Coturnix japonica: one gene and its partner. The protein of the gene in region 1 binds, or shares a complex with, the protein of each later gene. Links are inferred from orthologs where the notes say so. Each region holds a gene or a part of one and is shown on either strand. Other genes may lie near its edges.

Region 1 (5,423 bases):
GTTTTCCCTCAGCTGAATTGCTGTTGAATTAGGTGGACCATTGGTTTGACTCAACAGGGGGAATTTCTCACGAGGGACTTTATTTGATTCACTGCAATGCTTGTTAAAGGAACTTGGGGGTTACAGTGCCACATAGTAACTTGATTCTGGTATCTGCTGAAACAGTGACAGGCTCTGCCCACCATTCTGACCTTCGGGGGGAACAGAAAGGAATGTGATACCCCACTGAGTTATTACTGCTATAGTGTCCATGTTGGTTTCTGAATTACAGTGAGTCACTCTGGAAAACAGTGGGATTTCTGGTCTATCTGGGGAAAGCAATTGTAACTACCCAGTGTTTCATGTTGAAAAGAGGAAGGGTATCAACTGCAATCTGATTAATCTATGGTGGAGTGGCAGTCACTTCAGTGGCTAAAACTATCTGTGAACTCTGACTGTGAATGCCCTCACTGATGTGTATATATATATGTGTGTGTGAGTATATACATATATTTAAGTTTTACATGATCATTTTTGCAATTATTTAAAGTGTAGAAAATGGAAGGCCAGCCAGGAGTGTTGGACAGTTTACAGATTCACTTCACAAACTCTCTGCAAGAGATTACTGCCTTTTTATTGGAGATGTCAGGGTGAAGTAACACTAGCACCTCAATTCCTGCTGCTCATTCAATACACCTAAGGTTAGCTCACGAGCTACGGATACCAACTCTCATCACTCCTGTTGGTTGTGCTGTGGCAGTGGAAAATTCCAAGAAGGAAATGTATAATTAACAGCAGAGGATGGTAAAACTCTGTCCCATGTAATTTTTGTTGGAGCTCCAGCAGTATGTGCCATGAACAGTGGAGCTGGTTCATCAGCTGGTCCACTGTAAATCAATCACGTGCCTATAAAAGCTCTGCCTGTCAGAAGGGAAAGGAGGTGCTCGCTACCACAGAACTAAAGCATTTAGAAGTATGGAATGTGAAGGTCTCCTGTATCCACTAACAAATTAATTCTGGTCTTAGGCTACCAGACAGGAGTTTGTAAACATGTTGCTTGGTCTAGCTAGTAGGTGGGACTTCTGAATGAAGGTAACGTGTCAAATATGGTCTGTAGGGCATGTTGGGTTTTTTATTGTTGTTTGTTTTTGTTTTCTGTGGAGATTGATGTAACATAATACCTTGAGCATAGAGCTGGAATTCAGTGTTGCTTTTAATTTATGTTCGAGCAGGTCTTATACAGGTGGGTTACTGCTGGAGCTCTAAGCTGTATTCAGAAGTTATCCTAAGGGCTTGGTGAAGGTGGCAGCAGGGAAGTTAACTGATGGAAGGATCCTCGTAGTTGAGAATGCTTTCCTGTATTACATGCATCTTGCAGATTGCCATGGAGAAAGGGGATAAGCAAAGGGAATGGAAAAGGACGAAAAGGCAATTAAAAGGGCAAAAATGGAAGCCAAGCCAAACGGTACAGCCAGGAATTCTCAGTGCCACAGATTTTGTGAGGAACTGCTGAAGAGGCAATTCTGAGAGTGAGGGCCCACGATTCCTGTCACCAGACCAGGTAACAAGAGCTTGAACACTCCGGGACCTGGCTCTTGTAGCAGGGCCAGCTCAAGGCCTGTGACCAGAGGTACCAGCGCCTGCTGGGCCAGGCAGGGCTCTTGCGTACCTGGAACTGCACAGTGAGGGGCTGACACCGAGGAGCAAACCGCTCCTATAGACCGAGCGGACGCGATGTGCGTTCCCATGTCCCTCGCTGGCCTCCGGCTCGCTCCGGGCCGTTATGAGCTGCCGCCTCGCGGTGTGCAGCATCCCGCTGGGCTCATCGCAGCCGGCCGGGCCGCAGAGCAGAGGCGGGCCGCCCCCAGCAGCGCCGTGATTGCGGGCGTCGCACGATGGGACGGACTGAGGCGCAGCGCCCGGCGGGACAGCGCGAAGACTTCCGCCTCGGTACGCCGGGCGGAGCGGCAAGCGGGAGAGCGACCTCCCTGTGTACTTCCGCCTCACTAAGTGTCATGGCGGCGGGGCGGGCTCTTCACGTGACGGCGCCCCGCGCGGCGCGCTCTCGTTCGCTGCTCTCGCGGTATCTGGCCGCCCCCCCGCGCGCGTCCCCCGCTCGGTCTGGCCGCTCGCGCAGCTGCTCGGCTCTCGCTATATAAAGGGGCGAAGCGGGCAGAGCGGGCGGCTGGCGGCGGCGGCTGCAGCCCCAGGGCCGGCGAACGAGGCCGGGCCAGGCCGCGGGGCTGCCCGTGAGCCCGGGCGGGACGTGCGGGCTTAGGGGGGACGCAGCCGGGCAGGTTTATTGTTTTAGGGGCGACTCCCCCCCCCGCGGTTGGGGGCGTCCCGGGGGGCTCGGGACATGGCGAGCTCGACTAACACAAACCCCGTGGTAAGGACCGGGCCGGGGGGCGAGGGGGACCCCGCGGGCGGCGCGGGCGGAGGGGGCCGGCGGGGCTCGCCGCCCCCTCCCCCGCACCCCCGTCCCTCGGGCCGCCCCGGCCCCCTCCCCCCCGGCCCGCGGCGGGAAGGGGCGGCGGGGTCCGGGCCGCTCCCCGCGCGGCGGCGGCAGCAGCAGACAACTTGTGGCGCCCGACGCCGGGGCGGGGAGAGCGCAGCCGGGGGCGGCGGGAGTGGGGCGGCGGGAGCGGAACGGGGGGCGCGGGGCGGCGGCCCGGGGGCGGGCGGCGGACGGAGCCCCGCGGGGAAAAGGCCGGGGCCGCCCGCCGCGGGCCGGGGTCCGGCGGGAAGGGGCGGGCGGGCGGGTCGGGAGGGGGGGGGGGGAGCCGCCCCGGGAAGGAGCGAGCGCCGCCGGCCCCGCGCCCGACCGGGAGCGAGCCGGGTGTCGGGGTGGCGGTGGCCGCGGTGGCGGCGGCAGCCCGGGCTCCGCTGGAGCCATTTTATGTTGCTCGATCGGAAAGAGACGATGGTTGAAAAGCACTTGTCCCAGCCCCGCGGCAGCGGTCCGCCAGGCCCGGCCCGGAACTTTTCTGCAGCGAGCGAGGCAGTATTTATTTTACAAAGAAAACTCTCGCCCCCCTGTGTCCCTTCTCGTGCTTTCTGCACCTTGGCGGGCGGCTCGCTGCGGGACGGCTCGCTCCGGTTCGCAATAAGCAGTCACACGCACGGCCGATCCGATCGCCCCTCGGTCTCCGCTCCGTCCCCGGCGCAACCCCGGCCCCGACCCCCGCCCCGAGCGCCGGCGGCACAAACCCGGCGTCCGGCGGCAGGCGCGGCCCTGCTTGTGGCGCTCGGATCCATCATGGCTTCCCCTGCCTTTCTGCCTGCCCGCTCCTTGTGTTCCTCCTCCCTGCGGCCGCCCTGTTTATATAGAGCCATTGCCGCTCTCTAATATAGACTCTGCTAGGATGGGAAGGTGCTTTCCAGCCCCACGTCACCGCCTCTCCATTTAAACACCACATCAGCCTTTAAATAGGGAGAGAGCCGCCGAGAGCGGGCTGGGAGGTGCGTGCATCGCGGCGGAGGCTGCCGGCCGTGCTTTTTGTCGCTCGGAGCCGGGTTTGTGCTCCTGCCTCGCTCCGCACTCGGGGAGCAGCGGCACTGCCCACGGCTCTCGGTGCTGGGTGGCTGTGCCTTGCACGAAGAGGGCACCGCCATCCTCCCAGCCTTCTGAAAACGCTTACCTTCCCCCCCCATCCCAACCCCCCCCCCCCTTTTTTTTTTTTTAATTTAATTTTTTTTTTTCATTTCTTTTTTTATTTATTAGCGTGTGTATTTTTTTGTCCACAGCATGCAGCTCTCTGTACCCTTATGGTCTTCCATGGAGTTTTGCTGTTTTGCTGCTGGATGGGGAAAGGAGGATTTAGATGTTCTTATCCAGCATGGCAAGGAGAGATGCAGGATTTGTTTCATGGCAGTTGGCCAGTGTCTGGTACAGATCTTATACTGAAAGCAGCATTAATATTGAAGTTCTGTTTATTGGTCCTGGGCACAGATTGTGTGAACGATTGTTGTGTGCTTCTGGTAACTGAAGGTGATGCGGCACACTGATATTTTGGAAGATTTTGGAATTTCTGCTATTATTTGAATTAATTAGAATGTTCTGAGTATTACAGAGAAGTTTACAGAAGGAAATGATACAGAGTTTCCTTTCTAAATCCAAAATCTTACCTGTAACCTGGAGACATGAGAAGCAAGGAAGTAGCATGGCTTTGCTATTTTATCAGCTGTTCTGAAACAAAATGTGGGACAGCAGTGTGCCATTGCATGCAGGTCAGCTGCTGGTAGGATACTTAATGTGTGTGATCCAAATCTGCTAGCTGTTCTGCCCATGACCTGCTGGCTTTCTTTAACTGACAGGAAGGGTTCTTTGTCTCTACAGTAAGTTAGATGTTTCACGTCTCTTTTTCTACCAAGTTATTACCTAATAGGTAAATACATCTTTTTATTGAATAATCATCTTAGCACTTACAAATATCTTTGTTATAACAACTTGCTGAGGCTTATCAGTGCTGCATCTCTGTCCTAGCACAGCACAACTTCTGCTGAAAAGTGCTTGTGTTTGATCACAGTGTTAAGAATAATAGGAACTTAAAATGACCCTGACTCCCATTTTAGGTTGAATCCCAAGGAAACGGTACAATTTTGCAGCACTCTGAAAATCAGCTCTATTCTGTAGTAGTGATAACCATATGTACCTCAGAGTTGCAGAAGATGAGCAAGAATGTGTGGAAGTACTGCAGCCAGCTGGTAACTTCAGCAGGGCAGATTTTGGACCTGGTGTGTCATAGTAAGACATCAGCATCTAATCAAATCTGTCCTTCCCAGGAAGGGATGCACATACCTTATGTGGTATAAGGTTTTGTAGGTGACAAAGGTAATTACCTTGTAAAGGTGTGACAGGTGTCACATTTAATTGCTTACAGTGTAGCCTGTATGTGCTACTTCTTTTTCACTCTTCTTTGGTGTAATTGTGACTAAAAGTAGTTACCTCTGCAGCGTGGCATTCTCATGTCACACAGCTCCCATAGCTGTATTCCCACAGACAGGAGAAACAGATGGGGAACATTTCAGGGATAACTGCAGAAGTAACTAGGAGAAAACTGCTGTCAGATGCACAAGGCGTGCAGTGTGTATTCCTTTGTAATGTGTTGGTTATTGGAAACCCAAACTGCCCAAATCCTGACAGTTGTAACAATAATTAGAAAGAGGTGCGGGTTTTGTACCCTTGGAACTGATGGAATGTAGGAAATGCAGCCCCCAAAGGCATGTGGCATTGCTTAAAATAGCTCCCTGCATGCTCTTCTGATTTGGAGTGCATGTGTGTGTAGTGGTCTCACCATGCTCAGAGTTTTCTTTTCTTTACAAGATATACAGAGAAAGTGAAATATAATGATTTCCGTATGTTCCTGGAGGGGGACATATGAGATTTCAAATCTTTTCTATGTGTTTGTGGTTGCATCTAATAAATCAGGAATTTTAATTGT
Region 2 (5,171 bases), on another chromosome or scaffold:
TGCCATCAGTAAATCGGCTCCTACCTGCCCTCCTGTCATCCGTGCTGCTTTCCGGCAGCTCTTCCAGCGTGTCGGGGAGCGCTTCCCCCAGCATCAGGTCAGCTCCAAACCCAGTAGTGGGGATGGAGGAATGGGGCCAATGGCTTGATGATGGGTGACTTAAGTTGGTGGGGGGGCAACCAGCCCAAGGCAGGGGGTTGGAACTGGGTGGGCTTAGGGGGAAGTTCTTTACTAGGAGAGTGGTTAGGGCCTAGAACAGGCTGCCCAGGGAGGTTGTGGATGCCCCGTCCTTGGAGGTGTTCAAGGCCAAGTTGGACAGGACCATGGGCAACCTGATCTAGTAAAGGTGTATGTTTGGTGGCCCTGCCAGGCAGGGGGTTGGAACTACATGATCCTTGAGGTCCCTTCCAACCTGGGTCATTCTGTGATTCTGTGGGCTGTGAGGATCATCCAACCCTGAAGCATCATGAGGGATGGTGCCATGGGGATGGACCCTCACACATCTCTTGCCCCCGGTGGCTGCAGCACACTCAGTTCGTGGCTGTCACCAGCTTCTTGTGCCTGCGCTTCTTCTCCCCCGCCATCATGACCCCCAAACTCTTCCACCTGAGGGAGACACACGCTGATGCACGTACCAGCCGCACGCTGCTGCTGCTGGCCAAGGTGAGCTGGGACATGGGCACAGCGGGGTGGCACTGGGGGCAACGACTCCACCATGCCGTGGTCTGCAGGCCGTGCAGATGGTGGGCAACATGGAGCCAGCGGCAGGGAGAGCCAAGGAGGAATGGCTGGCCCCGCTGCAGCCCGCCCTGCAGCACGGAGCCTCCCAGATGAGGGCCTTCATCACCCGCCTGGTGGGCACGGAGGAGGAGGAGGGTGGAGAGGAGCAGCCCTGTGCCCCCCGCAGCAACGTGGTGAAGGAGGGGCTGCTGTTTGTCCATAAGACACGGGGCAAAGGGCCGCTGCTTGCTTCTGCATCCAAGAAGCTGCACTTCTGCCTCACCAGCGAGGCACTCAGCTTCAGCAAGAGCCCCGGGGCAGAGGTAGGGGGACGTGGGGTGGTGGGATCCCATGGTGGCACGGAGGGCACCGAGCGCTGTGTCCCCAATGGCAGAGATGCGGCTCCATCGCTTTGGCCAACATCCGAGCGGCCGAGAAGGTGGAGGAGAAAAGCTTTGGGAGCTGCCACGTCATGCAGGTGGTCTATGTGGATGAGGCCGGGCAGCAGGAGACGGCGTATCTGCAGTGCAAGGTGGGCTGGGATGGGGACGGGGCTGTTTCCCATTGGGGTACTGTGTGACCTCGCTGTTTAACCCGCAGTGTGTCAATGAGCTGAACCAGTGGCTGTCTGCGCTGAGGAAGGTGTGCGGCAACAACCCGCAGCTGCTGCGCTCCTACCACCCCGGGGTCTTCAGGGGGGATAAATGGAGCTGCTGCCACCAGAAGGACAGGACGGGTACGGGCTGCTGGGTGGGGGGTGGGGGTGGTGATGTCCCCGCTATTTTCAGCCCCTGTTCTGTCCCATAGGACCGGGCTGCGGCCGGACCCGGCACAGCATCACCCTGCAGGACTGGACCGACCCGCTGCAGCCCGACGTGGAGGCGCAGCGGCTCTTCCAGCACCTGCACGGGCTGCAGCAGCCCCTCAGGTGGGACCCACAACCGGGGGCAGCCCCCAAAGCGCCCCCTGCCCCGCGGCCAACAGCCCCTTTATCCGCAGGGAGAAGTGCCGGCAGCTCATGGAGCCGGGGGACCCTCAGAACGGAGAAGGTAGAGAAAGGACCCCCAGCTCCCCATCCCCCCCATAGGCGCTGTGCTCTGGGGCTGCTCCCATTCCCGGGGGGTCTCACCGCCCCGCTCTCCCCCCCCCCCAGCCCCACCGCTGACCCCCGCGCTCCGCCGGCTCCTGGATGCGCTGCAGGACCTGGAGCGCTGTCACCGCCGGCTGCCCCCGGCCCAGCCCCCCCTGCAGGAGCTGCCGGAGCCGCAGACGTGACGGACGGACCGGGATGTGCCGGGATGGGGCTGGGGGGGGGGGGGGGGGGGGGGTCGCAGCGTGGCAATAAATGCGCAGCTCCACCCGCTCCGTGTCCGTGCCTTTATAGCGCACTGCGCACGGTCCGCCCGCACGGCAGGGGGCGCTGTGGGCGGAAGTGACGCTGTGTGCGCTGCGGGGAGCGGTGCGGAGCCGGCGGGATGAACGCGCCGCCAGCATTTGAGTCGTTCCTGCTGTTCGAAGGGGAGAAAAAGTGAGTAGGGGGCGGGATGGAGGATGGGGGGGGTCCGGTGGGGGGTTGGGGGCTGCCCGGACCGTCCCGTGCCCCCCCGGTTCCCCCCATGTCCGCCCGGGCTGTGGCAGTGAATCGCCGCCCCCTGTGCTGTGTAGGATCACCATCAACAAGGACACCAAGGTGCCCAACGCCTGTTTGTTCACCATCAACAAGGAGGATCACACGCTGGGAAACATCATCAAGTCGTGAGCTGAGGGAGCTGGGCGCTGCTTACAAGTGCTGGGGCTCTTATAAAGCTCTTACATCTATTAATGTATGTTTGTTTGCTGCTGCTTTGCCTCCTCCCCCAGGCAGCTGCTGAAGGACCCCCAGGTGCTGTTTGCAGGTTACAAGGTCCCGCACCCCCTGGAACATAAAATCATCATCCGCGTCCAAACGACCCCGGATTACAGCCCCCAGGAGGCCTTCACCAACGCCATCACCGACCTGATCAGCGAGCTGTCCCTGCTGGAGGAGAGATTCAGGGTGAGCTCAGTTCTGAGCACTGCGAGAAGCCCATCCTTTGAACCTAAGGGAAGGGCTCAGCCCAGAGCTGCTGCCATCTCGAAGATGATCAGGGGGCTGGAGCACCTCCCCTATGAGGACAGGCTGAGGGAGTTGGGTTTGTGCAGCCTGGAGAAGAGAAGGTTGCGGGGTGACCTCATTGCAGCCTTTCAGAACCTGAAGGGAACCTATAACCAGGAGGGGAGTAAACTCTTGGAAAGGGCTGACAATAGCAGGACACGGGGAAATGGTTTGAAGTTAAAAGAGGGAAGATTTAGGTTGGATGTCAGGGGGAAGTTCTTCACTAGGAGAGTGGTCAGGCCCTGGAACAGGCTGCCCAGGGAGGTTGTGGATGCCCCGTCCTTGGAGGTGTTCAAGGCCAGGTTGGACGGGGCCGTGGGCAACCTGATCTATGGGGTCTCTATGGGGAATCTATGGGGTCTCCTGGGCAACCTGATCTAGTAAATGTGTATGTTTGGTGGCCCTGCCAGGCAGGGGGGTTGAAACTACATGATCCTTGAGGTTCCTTCCAACCCGGGTCATTCTGTGATCATCTAGTCCAACCATTCCCAATACTTCCCGGCTAGATCATACTCAACAACACAACATCCAGACGTTTTCTTGAACACTCCCATGGTCGGTGACTCCACCACCTCTCTGGGCAGTGCATTCCAATGCCTGACTACCCTTTCCGCAAAGTAAAACTTCCTAATGTTCAGCCTGAATCTCCCCTGGCGCAGCTTAAAACCATTCCCTCTAGTTCTATCACTGATAACACAAGAGAAGAGGCCAACCCCCAGCTCACTACAACCTCCCTTCAGGAAGTTATAGAGCAATAAGGTCTCCCCTGAACTCATGCAGTTGTTGTTTGATGTGAAATTGATGAAATCAGTGTTTAAACCATCCACTGACGGTTCTGTTTCTGTTCTTTACAGGTTGCCATTAAAGACAAACAAGAAGGAATCGAGTGAAATCAGCCTGCTCTTAGTGTGATACACTGCTGATGAAGAACGATGTGTCTGAGTGAAATGCTTTATTTAAACCTTCATTCAATGCCAATTACTTTCCTTCCAGTCCTACTGACTTTGGCAGCAGTATTGGGAGGGGATGTTTGTATCTGACATGTCTTGTTTGATTTCATGGCTTAATTCACTAAAATGGTTTTCACTTTTCTAACTGGAGCCTCACTGTCACTATGTGCACTATGCTGTAGCTCAGTCTCACTGCCCTTATGGCAATGAGGAGATGCTGAGTGGCAATAACGGGTCACAGCCCTGGTTTCCCATTCCAAGAAGTTCAGATTCTGCCAGCAGAGTTGTTGTTTTGTTTTATTAAGTGTCATTTCTATAAAACAAATGCACAAATTGTGTAAACTTACAGGAAAAAAGCCTGGATGACTGGATGTGCTTAACGAACTCTTTTACCTTTTGCACGTAACAGCTGGTCTAGAAAACTTTATGGTTATATGGGTAACAGTCACTAATACTGCACTATTTCAAAACACGGGGAATGAACTTCTATAACAAGGAACTATGACTTCTTCCAAATGGCTGTAATGTTCACACTAGTGAGAGCAACAAGGTAAGTGAAAGTAGGGTCTGTTATCACGTTGTTTATGTAGACTTCGCTCAGGTGTTCCCCATTTGCTTGAAGCTCCGGCCATTTGAGAATCTACAGGGAGAACAGAGTTTGTGTAGGAAAGGAATGGTATCATTGTCCATGAAACTTGGGCAATATCAATTATTGCAAAGCCTGGTTTGACAACTGGAGCTGGGTGGGGTCCAAAGAGGTCACATCCCTACCAGATACAGTTAGAGCTAAGACCACACGTGCCTCACAGCCTTTGTGAATGTGTAGTTGTTAGGGCACACTACTGACCCACAGCAGGAGTGTGCTCAGGAAAAGAATGAGCAAAAGAGAAGCAGGAACACAGGCCAGAAGCTTCCCCTTCCCCACATGCAGTTCTACCAAGGAGCAGCTGCTGCTGTTACCTCCACTCATCCAGACAGGGAAACAGTGGCTGCACACCAGACAGCAGCGCAGGAACAGCTTGTGTTGCCAGGCCATATATAGTCAAACAATCATATTTTTTACAGAGAGGCCTTTACCCAAGGAAAAGTTGACAAGCTGCAGCACACAGGAGTGAACAAATTTGCTTTGCAGCTCATAATCCCTGTCATAATTGTGTGTGTGATTGGAAGTGACCTTGGTCACACTCTGGAGATTGGTTTTAATTGGCTGTGAATGTTAGGTAGAGAAGATACGAGGCATGTTCTGGTGTGAAACTCAAGAGAGCTGCCCTGGGGAGGAAGGGAAGCACAGCTCTGACACAGAGGGTAAATGAGACCTACCTGTGTGGGCGGGATTCTCTTGTCTGAGTGTTTTCCCTTGGCAGAGC

The links. The genes of interacting proteins can lie anywhere in the genome.
Region 2: GTF2A1 (region 1) and DNA-directed RNA polymerase II subunit RPB11-a share a complex: the UniProt entries of both Homo sapiens proteins name them as parts of the TBP-based Pol II pre-initiation complex. The link is inferred for Coturnix japonica from reciprocal best matches to the Homo sapiens genes GTF2A1 and POLR2J.

The regions. Positions count from the first base shown.
Region 1 is NC_029520.1:37,077,344-37,082,766, reverse strand, and holds the start of GTF2A1 (transcription initiation factor IIA subunit 1), read left to right. Parts: upstream 1-2,085; 5' UTR 2,086-2,338; coding exon 2,339-2,368; intron 2,369-5,423. UniProt on the Homo sapiens protein: TFIIA is a component of the transcription machinery of RNA polymerase II and plays an important role in transcriptional activation. TFIIA in a complex with TBP mediates transcriptional activity.
Region 2 is NC_029534.1:3,079,258-3,084,428, reverse strand, and holds DNA-directed RNA polymerase II subunit RPB11-a, read left to right. Parts: upstream 1-2,116; 5' UTR 2,117-2,195; coding exon 2,196-2,248; intron 2,249-2,385; coding exon 2,386-2,475; intron 2,476-2,580; coding exon 2,581-2,755; intron 2,756-3,708; coding exon 3,709-3,744; 3' UTR 3,745-4,087; downstream 4,088-5,171. Other genes in the region: ras GTPase-activating protein 4-like, read left to right, coding at 1-97, 526-663, 732-1,043, 1,115-1,252, 1,321-1,456, 1,528-1,648, 1,720-1,769, 1,874-1,995; LRWD1 (leucine-rich repeat and WD repeat-containing protein 1), read right to left, coding at 4,304-4,444, 5,125-5,171. UniProt on the Homo sapiens protein: Core component of RNA polymerase II (Pol II), a DNA-dependent RNA polymerase which synthesizes mRNA precursors and many functional non-coding RNAs using the four ribonucleoside triphosphates as substrates.